Linked DNA regions of Rattus norvegicus. Each later gene encodes a partner of the first gene's protein in a complex. Links are inferred from orthologs where the notes say so. Each region holds a gene or a part of one and is shown on either strand. Other genes may lie near its edges.

Region 1 (9,724 bases):
TGAGCATTTGAAGCTTTCTTTTTTTTTTTTTTTTTTTTTTTGGTTCTTTTTTTTTTTTTGGTTCTTTTTTTTTGGAGCTGGGGACCAAACCCAGGGCCTTGCACTTCCTAGGTAAGCGCTCTACCACTGAGCTAAATCCCCAACCCCCATTTGAAGCTTTCTTATGTGCTCTTTTCTGACAGTTGTCTTCCCTCGGTAGCAAAGTCCTCAGGAAAACGTGTCACCATTCTGGCTTTCCCAGCACATTCCCTTTCCCATTCCCTCTGCTTGTCACTGAGGTACAGAGTGGGAGGATGGGTTTGCTGTAGTGAGACGGACAGTGGCAAGTAGGAAATGCCCTTGCTGTGCAGGCTGGCAGGCTTGTGGAGACCAGAGCACAAGTGTGTTTGGTGTGTAACAGATGCTGAGGAAGTGCCTGTTGATGGCTCTGCGTCTTTACTTCCTGAACGTGTTCTCACGTCAGGAGCAAACGTCCCGATGTAGCCACCCTTGCTGTATAATGGCTCTCACTGCTGTTCACAGTGCATGATTGCACGTGACCTTGGGTGGATTTACCTTTAGTCTATGTTCTGAAAGTAAGGAACACGAAGCCTTCCCTACATCGCTGTTAGAATAGTGAGAATCCTTGTTACTGTTATCCTTTGAATAGGCTTATTGTTTTAAAAGCTCAAAGTTAACCTCAGTTAATAGTCAAGGTTACCCAGGGCTACATGAGACTGTATCCAAAAAAAAAAAAAAAAATGTGGTGTTTAGGTGGTGGTGGTGGTGTTCTTAATTTTGCAGAGCAGGAAGCCAAGATGTATTCTCACTTTACCTGGATTACCCATATTTCTATATAAGATTCAAAATTAGATTGAGTTCGTGTTTTCTAAGGCACGAGTGTATGGTTGAGCACTTGCCTGGTGTACGTGAGGCCCTGGATTAAATCCCCAGCAACTGGGAATGGGGACAGTGTTTGCATGTACTGGGGATGGGGAGCAGTGCGTGTGTCTTGGGGAGGAAGGACAGTGTCATACACACTAATCTCACTAGGATGGTTTCTGTCAGTGCCTATCAAGTGAAAGGGAAGGAGAAGTTGGGTTTTACCGACTTCTTCACAGCAGTCGGTGGAGGCTAAGGGAGATGACTCAGTAAAGTGCCTGCTGTTCAGACCTGAGGACCTGAGTTCAGACATCTGTAATCCCAGCTGCAAGGGATTCCCTGGGGTTCCCTGGGGGCTCCCTGGGCAGCCAGTCTAGCAGCGCAGAGTGTTTTAGGCTCAGTGAACCCTGTTTCAAAAAATAAGGTAGAAGCTGAGCACAGTGTTCACCTTTAACCCCAGCACTTGGGAAGCAGAACTCTGTGAGTTTAAGGTTAGCCTCATTGATCTACATAAGGCAGTGCTACGACCTTTACTACAGTTCCTGTGCTGTGGTGACCTGGAAAGTTTTTTTTGTTGCTACTTCACAACTACAATTCTGTTACTGTTATGACTAGAAATTAAATATTTTTGGAGATAGAAGTTTGTCAAAGGGATCTAGACCCACAGGTTGAGAACCTCTGACATACAGCGTTCCAGGCCATGGAATGCTGCAGAATGAGACCATGTCTGAAAAAGAGAGAGAGAGAGAAAGAAAGAAAGGCAAGGAGTCTAGCCTCTGATATCTCCACACAGGAATATACCTAAGCATGTGCTCACATTGTATCCCGAAAATATTTTTTCTTTTTATTCAATGTGTACAAATGTTTGCCCTCATGGATTTACGTGCTCCCATGTATGTGTGCCTGATGCCCTTAGAGGTCAGAAGGGGACTGGACCTCCTGGAACTGAGTTACAGGTGGGTGGCTGTAAGTCACCACGTGGGTGTCGAGAACTGGACCCAGGTCCTCTGCAAGATCGACAAGTGTTCTTAAGCACCAGGCTGTCTCTTTAGCCACAGAACTTTTTTTGTTGTTGTTGTTTTTAATTAAAAAAAATTTATTGCCATATTGAAGCTTTGCTGGATATGACTGTAAACTGTCAGAGATCATTTGGGAACTATTTTTTCATTTTAGGTGTTTTAAGATCCAGGGAGGGCTGGAGAGATGGCTCAGTGGTTAAGAGCACAGACTGCTCTTCCCAAGGTCCTGAGTTCAAATCCCAGCAACCACATGGTGGCTCACAACCATCTGTAATGAGATCTGATGCCCTTGTCTGGTGTGTCTAAAGGCAGCTACAGTGTACTCATATATAATAAATAAATAAAATATTAAAATATTAAAAAAAAAGATCCAGGGAGACCTTAAAGTCTCATTTATATTGAACCTCCTGCCTCATTTCCCACCCCCAAAAAATGGTGCGTGCGTGCGTGCGTGCGTGCGTGCGTGCGTGCATGCATGCATGTGTGTGTGTGCGCGTGTGTGTGTGCGCGCGCACGCGCGTGTGTGTGTGCGCGCGCACGCGTGTTTGACAGGCAGATCTAACTATATTCAGTTGCAATCCCAACTGTGTTGTCCTCCCTCCTGCTTCCTCCGCTCTCCTCTGCGCCCTTAACTTAGTGAGAAGGATGGCCCTGGCAGCCCAGCTTTAGTGTAGATTGTTCCCACAGGAGAAGGGAAGAGTCACATGGGGCCTCCTCCCCAGAAGACAGCATTTGTTACTGACCTAGGAGCTGCTGGCTCCGTGTGTTTGTAGCGTGACTGCTTTGCCATTTGCTTTGTAGTGCGTGTCTGGGATGTCCGGCCATTTGCTCCCAAAGAGAGATGTGTGAAGATATTTCAAGGAAATGTCCACAACTTTGAAAAGGTGAGTAGGACTTGCCTTGGGGGTTGGTTTTACTGTGCGTTTGATCTGAAGAAGTATTTGAAGTGATGCTCAGGATAGAGTTGTTGACGCACTATGAATGAGTTAAGTCTGGTAATAGTAGCCATTCTTCATCAAAGCTGCCCTCCCTCCTGCCCAGCTTCCCATGTGCTCAGATTACAAGAGCTGCCCCCATGGTGGGCTCACAGCTCTTCTTACCAGAAGCGAAATTAATAGAGTGTATTAGAGAAGGCAGTCTCACGGGTTGCCAGACTGGGGCCCATTCATTCCTAGACTTGTCTTCAGCACCTCCCTGACAGGGCTTTCATTTCTGGCCTTATCCCTTGGGAATCTCGATCCTGTAAGTTACTGTCTGTGGCCCAGGCCCCCATTGCTGTTACCTAGATACCAGCTGTCAGAGCCCTGGTCTGTGTCTGTTCCCCTCCTAGCATGATGGCTCCAGTTCAGGATCGTTTTCTCCAATGTGTCCTGGGCAGCTCTTCTGGAGGCAGCTTCCTTGTCAGAGAGCTACTTAAGAGATGTCAGTGGTTTCCTTTTGCAAACTTACCCATACTGCTTTATTTTATAAATAAATTTTATTTCTATTGGGTTTGGTGGGGATTTTGTTGTTGTTTGTTTGTTTTTTCCTTCAAGATAAACAGCAAAGAAAAATAAAAACAAGATAAAATTTTAAAAATATTTTAATAGAATCAAGTTAAGTGAAGCTATGAGCCTTCATTTAAAGACAGAACAAGGGGGTTGGGGATTTAGCTCAGTGGTAGAGCGCTTGCCTAGGAAGCGCAAGGCCCTGGGTTCGATCCCCAGCTCCGCAAAAAAAAAAAAAAAAAAAAAAGACAGAACAAATTTTTATGGACAGATTTGTCCTTAATAACTAGGGTCAACCATCATCCCCCCCCCCCCCCCGGAGCTGGGGACCGAACCCAGGGCCTCGTGTTTGCTAGGCAAGCGCTCTACCGCTGAGCTAAATCCCCAACCCGGGTCAAACATTTCTGCATCTAGTTTTATGTATTATAAGATTACAAAGCAGGCCTGAGAGTTGCCTCAGCAGTTAAAAGCACTGACTGCCCTCTCAGGGGACCAGGGTTTGATTCCTGGTAACCACAGAACATAATTGTCTGTAACTCCAGTCCCAGGGGATATGATGCCTGTTTCTGGCCTCCTCCGTTGCTGGGCACACATGTGATGCCCAAACATACTTGCAGACAGATTACCTAAAATAATACACTTAGATTGATAATAAATAAGGTAGGCCAGGCCATAGTGGCATATGCTTTTTTTTTTTTTTTATTCCCAACAATTGGGAGGCAGATCTTTATGAATTCGAAGCCAACCTGGTCTACAAAGTGAGTTCTAGGACAGTCAAGGATGTTGTTACACAGAAAAACCCTGTCTAGAAAAACCAATACATGAATAAGAATTTTTTTTAGAAGTAAGATACGGAAATATTTAAAGAAAAATTAATGAGATTACAGAGCGTGCTGTTTTGAGCAGGAGTGTGATGGCTGATGACGTCTGGGAGATACTGAAGCCTAGTAGGGAATTAAGTCAGCTGACCCCTAGTGCAGCGAGACGGGTTTAGCACACTAACTGTTCATGGAGTCTTTTTTCATTGCAGAACCTCCTGAGGTGTTCCTGGTCACCAGACGGAAGCAAGATAGCAGCTGGCTCAGCAGACAGGTAAGGGTCCCTGGGTATGAGGTGGAGAATGGGGTGGCTATGCGGGTCCCACACCTAATGCCTAACTGTGAAGACAACAGAGGTACAGCTTTCCACGTGACTGAGGGGCTCTCAGAAGTGAAGCCGTGTGAAGACAAATGGTTTAGAGCCCATGTTGGACACACGTAGTTTTCTGTCTGTTTGTTTTTAGGCCTAGAGAGTCGACTGTGTTTATATCTGTTGGAGACTGATAATCTTCCTAGTGTCTCTGCCTTCTCCTTCCCGTCATGTAATACATTAGAGGCTGTCCCTCCTGCCATTCTTCTCCAGGGTCTCTCACACCTCCCTCAGTGCTCTCTAGACTGTCTTCCCAGTAACCACTCTGCTCCTTCTCTGAGCTATCCATGGCACTCTCTCAGTGTTCGCTCCCTCGCCTTTTCTCTCTCTTCTCCTTCACCCTCTCCCTTCCCCCTCTCTCCCTTTAGCATGACACATTGCTCTTTGTTCCATACATCTAACTTTTATACATATTTTTCTTCCTTACATTTAGACAGACATTGGGGGCATCTCTGTGAATGGCTCTCACAGTCAGAACAATCTTTTGACATCCTCTGTAAACCCAGGGTACTGGTTGGTGCTTGAATTCTGAGCGCTTGCTGTTTCAAGGACAAATTCCTAGGTCAGAGGTGACAATCAAATGCCACCCTTGTATCAACCCAGCATTTGGTCATAGCTGTCAATGTTAAAGATAATTCAGAATCAGCTCCAGGCTCGGTGGAAAGTGCCAATGTCGCTGAGGGAAGCAGGTTAGATAGCGTCCATCTCTGCCAAGTCACTAGGCTTTCCCGAGTATGAACTTAGAATGACTCAAGGCCTTAGTTGTGAATGGGAAACAGGGCAGAATTCACCTGTCAGATACAGGCTGGTTCTGGTGTCTGTGGTGCTGCGTACTTGGGAGAAAATCTGATGGAGTAGAGATTCTGAGTGCCAGGGACGAAGGACTTGTAAGTGACGCCTAGAGGTTCACAGTAGAGGCCTGAAAGCAGGGGTTCCCTTTGGGGACATGCTTAGAAACTTTGCAAGACAAGGTGTCATCATGGATCTCTGGCTGTCTTCAGACTCAGTGCGTACGGCAGACTGGCCTTGAACTCCGAGCAGGAGTGAGCTAGCGTGTCCAGCTCACATCTTCTGACTTACAATGTCTTCTTGCTCCTCTTCCTCTGACCAATCCTTAAAGAGGACACATGGCTTGGTGGAAGGAAAGCGTGCTCCTCTGCTGAGCTTGGCTGGATTTCACAGGCCACCCTGATAGCCTAAAGTCAGCAGTCAGTTCTGTTGTATAAGTAACCTGGTTTCTACCAAATGGTGACATGCCCACGTGTGGGGAGGACAAGGAACCCTCTAAATTTAGCATGTAATTGGCAGCCATGAGGAGTGAGCAAGGCCTTGAAGTAAACCCTTGGAGATCTAGGCTTCTGCTGGTTTCTGCCAACTTGAGAGATAATATCCAACTCAGAAAACCACTTTCCAGCTGTGCCTGGGTCTGGTGGGTTTCCCCTTCTGCTTACAGATCACCTCCCCCTGTGCCCTCTAACCCTCCGCAGCCCTGTTACAGGCACCGGCTGAGCCGCCAAGAGGATTCAGGTCAGCACATGACTTCATTGGCTCTGGCTGTGTAACACACTCACATTAGCAATAGCAGTCACTAATTCTGCGTGCCACTTTGCGTATATTCTTGTTCTCAAAAAGTTAGAATCCAGGGGTTGGGGATTTGGCTCAGTGGTAGAGCGCTTGCCTAGGAAGCGCAAGGTCCTGGGTTCGATCCCCAGCTCCGAAAAAAAGAACCAAAAAAAAAAAAGCTAGAATCCTTTTTTCCCCCACCTTTTTTTTTTTTTTGGTTCTTTTTTTCGGAGCTGGGGACCAAACCCAGGGCCTTGCGCTTCCTAGGCGAGCGCTCTACCACTGAGCTAAATCCCCAGCCCCTCCCCCACTATTCTAACGAAAGAAAGGCAGTTGTCTGACAAGCTGGCCAGTGAGTCCATGCTGTGGACCTTGCCCCCACTATTCTGACTCCAGTGCCGTCAGCCTTCCCCTCTGCCTGGGGCGGGGCTGGTGAGGGACAGTGGCTTGTGCGTGGCAGAGATAGGCATCAGAGGGCATGAGCACTAGCTCAGAGGCAGGGATGGGGTCTGCCTCCTGTCTAGACTATTTAGGTCTTATATAGCCCAGGATGGCCTTTAAATTCCATGTCTTGCAGCCTGTTTGTACCAAGTGCTGGGTTTACACGCATGTGCCAATATACCCAACTATTCCAAGTGTGTTACTCAGATTTGGAGCCCACACGGAGAGAGCACAGGACATAACTAATGAACTCTTGTTCATTTGTTGAGTATAGGGGTTTAGACCATCTCAGTACATTCTAGGCTGGCCTCAAACCCATAGTCCTCCTGGCTTCCCTCTTCCCAGTGCTGGGATTGCAGGTATAGTCTTTCTGTGATTTCAGAATTTTGTCAATTCTGTAAATAGCATAATCAGTCATGGACTGTATCTATTTTGTTGGGGTTTGTTTGTTTTTTAGCATTCTTTTTTTTTTTAAGATTTATTCATTTATTATATATAAGTACACTGTAGCTGTCTTCAGACACACCAGAAGAGGGCATCGGATCTCTTTACAGATGGTTGTGAGCCACCATGTGGTTGCTGGGAATTGAACTCAGGACCTCTGGAAGAGTAGCCAGTGCTCTTAACCACTGAGCCATCTCTCCAGCCCTTGTTTGTTTTTTGAGACAGGGTTTCCCTGTGTAGCCCTGGCTTTCCTAGAACGAACTCTGTATATCAGGCTGCCCTTAAACTCACAGAGATCTTAATGCTAGGATTAAAGGCATGCAGCACTGCTGCCTGGCCTCAGTTTGGTTGGTTTGAAGCCCCAAATATTCTCTGTTTCAGTTGGTGTTGTCCTGTTTTCCAAAGCCCAGAGGATTGTTCAGTAAGCAAACGTTCTCCATTTTGCTTCCAGCCCAAGTGCTCTGACCCTCTTCTAAGGGACCTTCCTTTGTTTGTTGTGGCATCTTGCAGGTTTGTGTACGTGTGGGACACCACAAGCAGAAGGATCCTGTATAAGCTTCCTGGTCATGCTGGCTCCATCAATGAGGTGGCCTTCCATCCCGATGAGCCCATCAGTAAGTCCATGTCTGCCATGACTGCTCCAGATGGGAAGTGACCTCTCTCCAGGACCCTGGGGGTACAGAGGCAGGCAGGCAGGCAGGAGTCAGTTATGTGAATTCAGTGTTAACACTGGGGTTTGAGGGTTTGGGGGTGTGGGGATGTGGGGGCTGGGACAGTGACAGTGACCAGAGGAAGGCAGTTGACAGCATACAGGAGACCCAGCACAGGAGTAACCCAGGGGTTGCTTTTTATACGAATGCTCAGATGGAACTGGGAATCTTTTTAATTTTTCCAGACAGGGTGTCTTTGTGTAGCCCTGACTGTCCTAGAACTCAGAGATCTGCCTGCCTCTGCCTCCCAAGTGCTGGGATTAAAGGCCTGCACCACCATTACTAGGCCAAACTGAAAGTCTCTCTAGCTGGGTCTTACTATGTAGCCTTGGCTTAGCTGATGCTCACTTTGTATCCTATGCTGGCCTCATCTGAGGTAATCTTCCTACCTCTCCTACCTCGGCCTCCCAAATACCAGGTTCTTCAGGTGAACTCAGCACTTAAACCACAGGAGGGGATCTCAGGGAGAGTCAGTATGAAGCAGTGTTGCAGCTTATTAATAATGAGCCTGGAGGGCTGGAGAGATGGCTCAGTGGTTAAGAGCACTGACTGCTCTTCCAGAGGTCCTGAGTTCAATTCCAAACACCTACAAGGTAGCTCACAACCATGTGTAATTGGATCCAGCGCCCTCTTCTGGTGTGTCTGAAGACAGGGCTTACTTATATTGAATGAATGAATGGATGGATGGATGGATGAATGAATGAATGAATGAATGAATGAATGAGCAAGCGAGTGAGCGAGCCTGGAGTGGACACATGCCTCAGGGGGGTTGCTGCCATCTATGGTTCAGTCTTGGAATTGCTGTCCCAGATGGTGAGGTAGCCATCAGTTCCTTACCTCAAAGAAGACTGAATAGACTGAGGCCTTTTGTCACCCCTCAGTTCAGGTCTCTCCATGTTTTTGTCTCTTCTGAGTGGCAGGGATTGTATGTAGTCAAGAATGGTTTGTAAATATTTAGATTAAAATTATATTAAATTTGATTAGCTAGCTAAGCCAATTAAAGAAAACCTGTTAGTGTTCTCCAGGACTCTATAAAGCACATTGACTGGGTGGGTGGGGACTTGTAATCCCAGCTCTGAGTGGGCAAAAGCAGGAGGCTCACTGGAGGTTTAAGGCTAGCCAGTCTACATAGCAGGTTCTAGGTCAGACTGGGCTGAACAGAGAGACTATCTCAAATCTTGTCTGAGAATGCCACAGCCCCAAAGAAACACATAGGTGGACGCATGCATGTGTGTGTGTGTGTGAGAGAGAGAGAGAGAGAGAGAGAGAGAGAGAGAGAGAGAGAGAGAGAGAGACTGGCATAGACATCAACAGTGTTTTTCTTGGGTTTGAGCCTGGCTGTTTCCTGTGTACAGCCATCTTCCCGATTTTGAGAGGACTTGGATGAAAAGCCAGACTGCAATTCCCTGTGTGTTTAGGAGAATTCCAGCTAAATCCAATTGCTCTTCTTTGTCACAGCTGTCTCTTGACACAGGGCCCTTGAGCCCGAGGATTGTCCTGAGCCTTCATTGTCTCCTCTCGCTCTTTCTTTCTCAGTCCTCTCAGCATCCAGTGACAAGAGGCTGTACATGGGTGAGATCCAGTGAAAATGTGGAATGGAAGGCCCCGTGACCCGAGGCTCAGACTACGCCATTGGCCAGAGTCAGATGGTGTCTGGGCTGACCTGCCTTCAGATGACCATCGTTAGCAAGCAGCTGGACCTGATGGCCATATTCCAGCAACCTCTTGTACCCCATTTACCAGAACCACTGTGGCCTCTGGTACCACCCGCCAGATTCAGGGATTGGTTTCTTCTCTTTAAAAATAAGATTTCTTCAGAAAGACAAACGTTGGTTTGATATTTCCTGTTTTTAATCTAGGCTGGAGACAGGGAGTGGCAATTTGAAATTTGTTAGTTGCATTTATTTTTGTTTTATTTTTAAATTGAATAACTAGCTTGTATGATATTTGTTTCTGTGTTTGAGTCATTTTGTATTAAAAATCCAAACAGATACCTTTTTACAAGAACCTT
Region 2 (9,824 bases), on another chromosome or scaffold:
GCAAGAGACCAACTCCCTTTCTCTCCCTTCCCAGAATGCAGAGGGAGGGCTGCAGCTCTTGTGGATTGGGAGGCTCTGATCCTAGGTTCTCAGTGCAGACGGAGCTAAGTGAAGAGCGGAGCTGCGTCCCTGCCTGGCCCTGCTTCTCCTCAGCACTAGAGCCCCAAGGAGCGGGGAGGGCAGGTGCTCACCCTCACTGGGCCAGCATCATGGGTGCCTATCAAATGGGAAGGGGGGGGGGGGGCAGGCTAGCTCCTTTCCGAATGTGCTTTCAATGGAATCTTTTTGAGATGACCTCACTGTGCCTGGCTCACCAGGTAAACCCAGGCTGGTCTTGAACTTGTAGCAATCCTGCCTCAGTCTCTCAAGCTGTGGGGATCTCGGGTACACTCATGTCTGCTTTCATTTACTTGTTTTTGAGGAAGGGTTTCTCTGTGTAGCCCTGGCTGTCTTGGAACTCACTCTGTAGACCAGGCTGGCCTCACAAAGACTTCCCTGCCTCTGCTTCTGCCTCCTGAGTGCTGGGATCAAATGCATGCCCCTGGCATACAGATCTGCTTTTAATCTATGTGTATTTGTGTGCAAGTGCCCAAGGAAGCAAGAGCACTGGATCCCCCTGGCTTTGTAGTTAAAGCCAGGTATGGGTGCTAGGCATTAAACTTGGTAGCCACTGAGCCATTTCATCAGCCCTGCCTGTCTATCTGAATGTAGCACCATTATTTTCTCACTTGGGTGACTTTGGGACATGTTAATGCCCTTCCTGAATCTCAATGATTTCAACTGAATGAGCTGGATGGCTGTGGAGACATAGGCCTGTCATCCGAGCTGCTTGGAAGACCATGGCAGGATTACAAGCTCAAGGCCAGCCCTAGAAACTTCCTAAGAGATTCCCTGTCTAGTGGAAGAACTGGGGAGGTGGCTCAGTGGTTAGAGGAGCATTTGCTATATAAGCAAGAGACCCTGAATTCGAATCTGTAGCATGATGTGGAGACAGGATTACTGGAGGTTGCTGGGTGCCAGCCTAGTTCTGTTCAATGAGACTCTGTCAAGGGGATCAAAGGAGTGTCAGACGACACCTAACACTGTCCTTGTGCATGTATACAAGTGAATGGAGGGCTGCGGAGAGCTTGCCAAGCATGAGACCCTAGTCTCAGTCCCCAGGACCACAAAAGAACGAAGAGAGAAGAGAGGGTGGGAGAGATCTAGAGCCCACAGCAGAGCTGTTCTGGCAGTTGCTCAGGAACGTGTGCCTGAACAACCAAGCACGGCAGTTTTCTCTGCTGCAGGCTTCACAGCTCTGCACAGGGGCTTACCGGCTACCACTGACTGTGACTGCCACAGTTCAGGAGGACAGCTAAGCTAGAGGGTGGTGGCTCACGCCTTTAATCGCAGCACCCGGGAGGCAAAGGCAGGTGGAATCTCTGAGTTTGAGGACAGCCTGGTCTACAGAGTGAGTTCCAAAGCACTCGCTGCTCTTGTTTCCTTCCCAGCACCCACATGGCTGCTCACACGTAACTAGGGGAGTCCAACCCTCCTCCCGGGCCCCCTATGGGCACAGAGAACAGACGTATCCAGACCAGACACCCATACTGCTTTGTATGCATTTAAGGAGGGCAGATAATGCTGACCTCTAGCCCAGATCTCCTGAATTTCGTGTTTAGAATTACCTGAGAGGGCAGGGACAGAGATACAGATGGACAGAGTAGTGGGTAGGACAGAGGGCCCTGTGTACAGTCCAGAAAACAGCAAGGTCCTTCAACAAGCCCCTTAAGTAGGACCCCCTTTCTCACCTGTATCCGCACCCCGCCACACAATACACAAAAGTCAAATTTGGCGGTCTACTTGGCAGTCAGGGCAGTCATATGCCCCAGCACTCAGAGGCCCTGTCCTAGTGCCTCTCTCTCTAAGACCCAAGGGCAGAGAAGACCACTAGAAAACATAAAAAACAAAAAGCACAGGGTTTTATTTCTAGCTCATTGGGCAGGGCTCTGCGGGACTTGGCTGGGCAGGGAGCAGGCTCTCAGCGGGCTGAGGCTGGCCTCTAGTTTACTTGCCAGCGATGAGCGGGTTCCGCAGCACCACAATGACTGAGTCCCCGCGCAGGAACATCTTGGAGATGTAGCGGTCCTTGTTGACAGGCTTGGACTTCTTCTTGCCCTTGCCGCTCTTGGGGACCTCAGTCCACATCTCCTTCACATTTTCCAGCACCATGTTGCAGTGCCTGATGGGGTAAAGGGTGGAGGAAAAAGCCAGAGTGAGGGGGACATTCTGAATGTGTGAACCCTCCAGCAGCAGGCATAGGGACGGAGTTCAGGTTCCACAGTGGGGATGGGCAGGCTTCAAGGTGTGATCTCAGCCCCATCTTAAGTGTCCCTTCTGTGCCTCAGTTTCCCCCTTCTTGAAATGGAAACAGTCTACTTCATGGGGCTGATGTGAAGATTGGATGAAAGAAGCACTTAGGACCCCGGTACACAGTAAAGGTCACCAAAATGGCCCTGGCTCTGCAGTTAACTCTAACTCTGAGAGAAGCATTAGCTCCCTCCAAACCTTAAGTTCTGGGGTTAGACATGGTTCCCAACACGTGCACTCCAGTGCCTCATGGCCCTGTCCTCATGCAGGTGGACATGTGCTCACACTTGGATCAGTTCATTCCACGAATGCTTGCTTGAGGACAGTGACGATGAGCAAAGTACAATGCCAGATGTGTAGGACCACGTCACAAGGCAACTTCCATGCTAACTAAAACAAGGCAGGAGGGTATGCTTCGCCCCTGTAATCCTAGCGCTTGGGAGATGGTAGCAAGAGGATCAGAAGCATAAGGTTAGCCTCTGCTACATCTGTAGCCAGCCCAGGCTACATAGTTAAAGACCCTGCCTCAAAACAAACTAGAAAGCAGTAGAAGATATTTGACATTGATGTCTGGCCTACAGAGGAACAAACCAAACATCTTAATTCCTGTCCCTCCTCCTGCCGGGGATCTGATGACTTCTGAAGGTATTAGACATGTCCACAGTACACAGACAGACTCACCCGCAGACAAAACGCCCAAACACATAAGATAAAAAAAAAAAAGCCAAGCACCCCCACTTTCTAATTTTTTGAGCTAGCTGGGTCTTGCCCTGTGACCCTGGCTGGCTCCAACTGACAGTGATCCCCTTGAGTGCTGAGACTAAAGGCACTTTGTCACCTTGCCCACCTTATTACGACAATTCTTCTCAAATGACCTTCCCCAAGACAATGCCCACCTGTCAAAGGCCTTCACCCGGCCCAGGAGCTTCTTGTTGTTTCGACAGTTAATGAGCACTTGCGTGTTGTTTTTGACCGACTGTGTGAGCACCGAGAGGGGACCTGTGTTGAATTCCTCCTCCTCCCGCTTCTGCAGCTCCTCTGGGGTCATCTCACTCTTGGGTTTATTGAGGAGACTCCTGGATAGAGAACCCGGGGGGTGAGACGGGTTCAGGTTGGAAGCATAAGTGACCAAAGCTACATTGTCCAGTGTCTCCCCAGCCTGGCCCCCAAATGCCCTTCCTGGTACAGTCTTCTCTGGAGGCAGGAGAGACATTTCCAAGTTAGCCTGCTCCAGCTCATTAACCAAACCTCGTCCAGCCACTGTTGACCTTGAATTCTCAATTCTCCTGACTCCATCACCCAAGGTCTGAGATTACAGGGGGCTCACCATCATGCCTGGCACCTGATTCTTTCAAACCTCACTCTGTCGTCTTATCTTGTCATCTGCTTCCATGATATGTCCAAAAATTTGGCCATTTCTCTTCCATCCCACCCCACAACAGTGTCTCCCTGTATAAATAGACCTGCCCCTGGAACTCAGACTTGTCTGTCTCTGCCTCCAGGATACTGGGGTTACATCTAGTCTGTGTGTGGCTGAGGACCAAACCCAGGGCCCACAGTAGGTAAGTACTCTGTCCACTAAGCTAAATCCCCAGCCCAAGTATTGGGCTTTCAATGCCCAATACTTCTGTGCTACCTACTGGTGTTATTTCTTTCCTACTCAATTCTCCATTCACACTCCTGATCATCTAAGACATACTGTATGTACTTGTTTATTACTCTATGGCTTTCCTATTGGATTCTTTTTATAAGCCCTGAGAGATTTTTTTTCCTTGGTAGCAAGGACCTTCTATTTACCATGTGTCTAACTTACAGTCTACATAATATCCGCTCAATGAATAAACCATTGTAGTAGCCTGCTACTCTGACAATCTCTAATTAGGTTCAAAAGTCCTAATTTATCCTGGTTAAGTCCCATACGTCTCTATTTACTATTTCTAATAGTACTTCCTTCTCCGCCAAGCTCTTCATCCATTAAGACCACTTCTATATAAAATTACTATTACTTTTGTAAGCGGACACGCTATGAAGCTGGTCAAGGCTGACCACCAACTAGCGATACTCCTGACTCAGCCTCTCTAGGCTTGGGATTCTAGGCATGTGCCATCAGACTCAGTTTTTCCTTTACGGTTCATTTCCGCAAGCCTCGGTACCTAGAAGAGTCTTACACCCATTATGGAATAAAGCTGTCCCCTCTCCGGAACTCAAGAACCGAGGCCCCATGCCCGTTCTCAAATCCCTCAGAAGACATTATTTTTGCCCGAGAAACTCTACCCTCAGCTATGAGCACCCCATTTCGATTGTTATTTAGCTAAACCGTCCCCCTCCATCTTCGTGTCCCCGCCGAAGCCCGTCCCGGCCTCACATGGTGAAGGTTTCGCTAGCAGATCACTCCCGCCTCCAAGCGCGTTGCTTTAGCCTTTGGAGCACAGCAAGAGAAGGGCGGGACTTCCGTCTCCTGCGGCTGACTTCCGTCGACGCCTGCGCAATCACGACTGTGGGCGTGCCCTGTTACCATAGTGACTCTAAGGCTACGCTCTCCTGCAGAAAATGCCTATAGGGAGGATTTGAAGCCTCTGAGGATCACAATAGGTTGTCTGCTCATGCGGAAAATAAAACGGGGTCTGACTGAAATTGTTTTCCCGCCTAACTGTCTAGTTGGGAGAAGGAAAACGCAACCCGGTTTCCAAAATACCCGCCGACAATTTTCTTGAGGGCATGGCTTCAGGCAAACCAATCGGTTCCTTGTTTTAGGGATGGATGCCGCCCCTTTTTCCTTGAACCACAGTTTCTTGATCGACTTCCGTAAGGGGCGTGGCCCCGCGCCGGGGAAGGTTTCGTATATTCGGACACAGCTCATTGCCTGTTTCTCTCCCGTGGGGGCGGGCCTTAAGGTTTCCGCGCTCCCTTTTGGGTGGTGCGGCGCTTAGGAGAGCCAATCGCAATCGATTGGGGGAGGACGCAGTTACTGTGTTTCTTTATTGGCATTTGTAACCTCCGAGAGGCGAATCTTGGCCTAAACTCAAACCACCCTGCGGGGGGATTGGTTTCAGGGCAAAGCTGCCATGAGTCCGGCCAGCCGCGGGCGGTCTCGGCAGCGGCTCGGGGATCGCGGCCTCATGAAACCACCCTCACTTTCCAAGCGCCGTCTTCTGCCGCGGGTGCAGCTCCTGCCCCTGCTGCTGCTGGCGCTGGCCCTGGGCTTGGCTTTTTATATCGTCTGGAATAGCTGGCACCCTGGGGTTGAGGAGGTATCACGGAGCCGGGATCTGCGGGTAAGCCTTGGCTGGGGCCCAGCCAGCGTCATTTCCCTCTTTCCCTTCATATTGAGTCTCGGGTTAGCGTGGCCTTATCGTTTAGCCCTTGCCGCCTGTGCTATTTCTTTATCCATCACTTGAGCGTATGCCCCTTCCCAACAAAATAAGGTTTCAGGCTTGTTTTATGATTAGACCCCTCTGAAGAGGATGCATCCGCATAGAAACACTGGTAGATCTGAGCTCTGTGCCCAAACCATTTATTTAGAAGTCTCCATCACCCGTTTGCAATTTCTTCGTCAGGACTGCAGTAGGCTGGATCAGATTTGCTTTGAAGATTTCTCCCAATCTAGGAAATCTTTGGATGCTGGAGACTGCATCACCAAGAAGAATCAGCATTCCTAGTGGGCAACCGCGTCCGGGATAAGTTGGGAATGGGATCTTTTTCATTTTTCTTTCCCCCATCCCATTTCCCAACCAAGGTCCCGCTGATCGGAAGCCTTTCAGAAGCCAAGCTGCGGCTTGTGGTAGGGCAGCTGGATCCACAGCGTCTCTGGGGAACTTTTCTGCGTCCCTTGTTGATTGTACGACCCCCAGGTAGTCCTGGCAATCTCCAAGTGAGAAAGGTAAAGGGTTTTATTTTCAACCCCCAACTTCCTTTCCCCAGTCTGTCAGGAAATGGAACTCAGGCACCAAAGATCCCAAAACAGCCAGGAGGCAGACTAGGGATCTGATGGGGGTGGGGGGCAGGGATGGGGAGTGTGTGCGTGTGTTGGGGGTGTGTGTGGGGGAGTAGTGGTGGTGGGTGAACCAGACTAGATTTCTTGGTGGTGCACAAATCCCACACTATACGACCCCCACCAAACTTTTACCCTATACTAGGCAGAAGCAATGTACTGTCTAGTGAGATCAGAACTGATATGATCTCCATTATCAGATGAGGAAACTGAAGTTATTGTATTTTGTCCAAATCCCACAGCTGGTTGAAATTAAAATCCAAGAAGGTTGGCTTCAGAATTAGTGGTATAACATTGCTTTGCTGCCATTCAGATACTGTGTTTAGGATCCACCTTAGTTGGACTAACTTCTTAACCTCTTTGGGACTCAGTTTCCTCATCTTCAAAATGGGGTCAGTGACATCGTCGATTTCATAGGGATCCTAAAAAGCACAGAGTGGGAACTTTTCAAGAGGAAGTGAGAGCATGGCTCCACTTGCTTAGAACTCCTCCAATGTGAGGATGGAGGTGTGGCTCAACGGTAGAAGGCTTGCCTAGGATTCACCAGTGTGTAGCTGTGGCTGTGTAAGCATGCAGGAAATCCTGGGATCCATCCTCAGCACCATGGAGAGAGGCAGGAAGGGGAAAGGGTGGAAGTGAGTTAGTTGAAAGTTGGCCTACTCGTGATTTTGGAAGAATCAACATGAGGGGAGAGAGGGAGAGAGAAGGGAGGGTGCTTGGGTGGGGGTAGGTGGGTGGAGAGAGAAAGAGAGGAGAGAGAGAGAGAACTTTCTCCACACCTGGGTGTGGTGGTGGTCTGGGTCTATATATAATCCTATCACTCTGGAAGCAGAAACATGAGCTGGAGTTCTAGGCCAGCCTAGGCTACACAGCAAGTTGGAGGCTAGCCTGGACTACATAGTGAGAATCTGTCTCAAAATAAGCCATGACAAGTTTTGTTGCTATCAAGAGGTATGGCTCTCCTACACCTGGCACTCAGCCACTTCTCAGCAGAAGCCTATGTCAAGGGACCAACCTAATCCAAAGTGGGACTTTCTAGTCACCCAGACTGCTCTGCGTGGCTCCAGTCACAAGGCCCTTTTCCCTACCTCCTCCCCAGTCCCTGTCCACCCTCCTACCTCTCTCTTGCCAATAGTTCCTGGAGGCTACGTTGCAGTCCCTATCGGCAGGCTGGCACGTGGAACTGGACCCATTCACAGCCTCAACCCCCTTGGGGCCACTGGACTTCGGGAACGTGGTGGCCACCCTTGACCCAGGAGCTGCCCGTCACCTCACCCTCGCCTGCCATTATGACTCTAAGTTCTTCCCTCCTGGGTTACCCCCCTTTGTGGGGGCCACAGATTCAGCCGTGCCCTGTGCCCTGCTTCTGGAGTTAGTCCAGGCCCTTGATGTCATGCTGAGCAGAATCAAGCAGCAGGTGAGGAGTAGGGGAGGGTTGTCTGTCCCTGGCCCACGTCCTCGTTTCCGTCTGTCATTCTTTCCTTTTTTTTTTTTTGATATAGGGCTTTACTAGTATGTAGCCCAAGCTAGCCTTGAACTCAGCCATTCTGCACCGCCCTTCCAAGCGACATGGCAGGTTTGTGCCGCCAGACCTACTGTCATCTAGCCGTGTTTCATGTAGGCTGTACTAACATCAACCTCAAGAGTGAATTTGAACTTGTGACCCTCTTGCCTCCATCTCCCCAGTGCTGTCATTACAGCCGTACATGTACCATGTCTTATTTATGCTATTCTGAACTCTGAGCCCAGGGCTTCACGCATGCTCAGTAAGGCTCTGTCAACTGAGCTACATCCTCAGTCTCCCACAGGGATCTACATCCTAAAAGGCAGATCATGCCCTCCTGTGTCTGGAGACTCTCCCATGGACCCCCATCATATCCTAACCCAAAGCCAGAGGGTGGACCCCACGTGCTCTCCACTCTAGCCACACCCCTTTCGGTGTCCCTCCAATCCAGAGGCTTCATTTCCGCCTCATTAGCATTTGCTGTTTGCCTGTAAAGATCACTTTTTTCCTCATGTATGGCCCTCCTTCCCACCCTCACTCCTGGCAAAACTCTCTTTTGTAAAGAATACTTTCAGACCTCACCTCTCCCTGTCCCCCAAGTAACTTCCCGGTTACTGCCCATTCCTTATGGTGCTGATGAAATTACTCGTTTTTCTCTAATCTCAGTATGTCCCACGATGCAGACCTGGCTTCTTCTCCTTCTGGTTATGTCTCCCTGGGTCAGAATAAAGTTGGACATTAGTAAAAATCTGTGGAATGAATGAAAACACATTTCATCAAGTGTCTCTCTTCCTCAGACCCTTTTTTCTGGCTTCCCAGTGCTTCTGTTATAAAACAAGGCCCGAAAATTGTGGATCTTCCTAACCCCTCTCTCTGCCCTCCTCTCAAAGCCCTCTGGCCCCAGCTCTGGTCCAGGCCTTCCCCGTGCCTGGGAATTCTGTTCGCTTTTTGCTAGGTCACGTCCCATCAACTCACTCTCAGTGCAAACACCCCTGTCCAGTAGAGCCAGCGGCCTCTGCCAGCCAGATCAACCTCCTGGACCCTCAGAAGCTGGTGATCTTAGAAGCATTTGTCCTAATTGTGATCTGCTGTTTGTGCAGTTCTTCCCTTGTGGGTTGGTCTGTCTGTCTGTCTGTCTATCTTGCCCAGCGAGACTTAAGTAATAATAACCAGAGCTGACTTGTTTTCAGTTCTTAAAGACCTGATTTCAAATGTGATCCTGTGAACAGAGCTGTTATTAGCCCCATTCGTAGTTGAAGAAATTGAGCCAACCCTGGTGGTTCAGGCCTGTAATCCCAGCTCCTCCAGACATAGAGGCCTGAGGAAGCAGAGTTCAAGGCCAGCCTGGGCTATAGAGTGAGCTCAAGGGTAGCCTGGGCAATTGGATGAAAGCCTGCAGGTGTAGCATATGGGCTACACCTAGAGCATTCTCCAGCGGCACAAAAAAAAAAAAAAAGGGAAAACAAAACAAAGCCGGGCATTCTGCTGCACACCTGTAACCCCAGGTAGAGTCGAGGATAGGAGGGATGGAAGGTGCAGGCTAGCTTGGGCTATCCTAGACTTTATCTCAAAACAAAACAACAACAACCAAAAGCAAGTAACTTTATCCAGCAACCACCTACAGTGTGGATTTGAGCCCAGGCCTCTGGCTCAACCAGTGGCTTCTGTCACCAGATTGCATGAATGAGGAAGCTAGGTTTATCCCACCTGAGCTGTGCAAATAAACAGGCAGGCACATGTGTGGGCCGATGCCAAGGGTTGGTACTGATTCGGTGGCTTGTTCCCACAGGCAGCACCAGTGACCCTGCAGCTGCTCTTCTTGGACGGGGAGGAGGCACTGAAGGAGTGGGGACCAAAGGACTCCCTCTATGGTTCCCGGCACCTAGCTCAGATCATGGAGTCTATACCGCACAGCCCTGGCCCCACCAGGATCCAGGCTATTGTAAGATCCATTCCTCTGGGCTCTGGAGCAGGAGGCAG

What was found.
Region 2: Snrnp40 (region 1) and Snrpd2 share a complex: the UniProt entries of both Homo sapiens proteins name them as parts of the U4/U6-U5 tri-snRNP complex. The link is inferred for Rattus norvegicus from reciprocal best matches to the Homo sapiens genes SNRNP40 and SNRPD2.

What each region holds. Positions count from the first base shown.
Region 1 is NC_086023.1:148,008,200-148,017,923, forward strand, and holds part of Snrnp40 (U5 small nuclear ribonucleoprotein 40 kDa protein), read left to right. Parts: intron 1-2,681; coding exon 2,682-2,764; intron 2,765-4,397; coding exon 4,398-4,459; intron 4,460-7,513; coding exon 7,514-7,617; intron 7,618-9,249; coding exon 9,250-9,299; 3' UTR 9,300-9,724. UniProt on the Homo sapiens protein: Required for pre-mRNA splicing as component of the activated spliceosome. Component of the U5 small nuclear ribonucleoprotein (snRNP) complex and the U4/U6-U5 tri-snRNP complex, building blocks of the spliceosome.
Region 2 is NC_086019.1:87,921,375-87,931,198, reverse strand, and holds Snrpd2 (small nuclear ribonucleoprotein Sm D2), read right to left. Parts: upstream 4,791-9,824; 5' UTR 4,717-4,790; coding exon 4,715-4,716; intron 3,426-4,714; coding exon 3,246-3,425; intron 2,222-3,245; coding exon 2,047-2,221; 3' UTR 1,940-2,046; downstream 1-1,939. Other genes in the region: Qpctl (glutaminyl-peptide cyclotransferase-like protein), read left to right, coding at 5,415-5,624, 6,086-6,229, 7,476-7,757, 9,634-9,786. UniProt on the Homo sapiens protein: Plays a role in pre-mRNA splicing as a core component of the spliceosomal U1, U2, U4 and U5 small nuclear ribonucleoproteins (snRNPs), the building blocks of the spliceosome.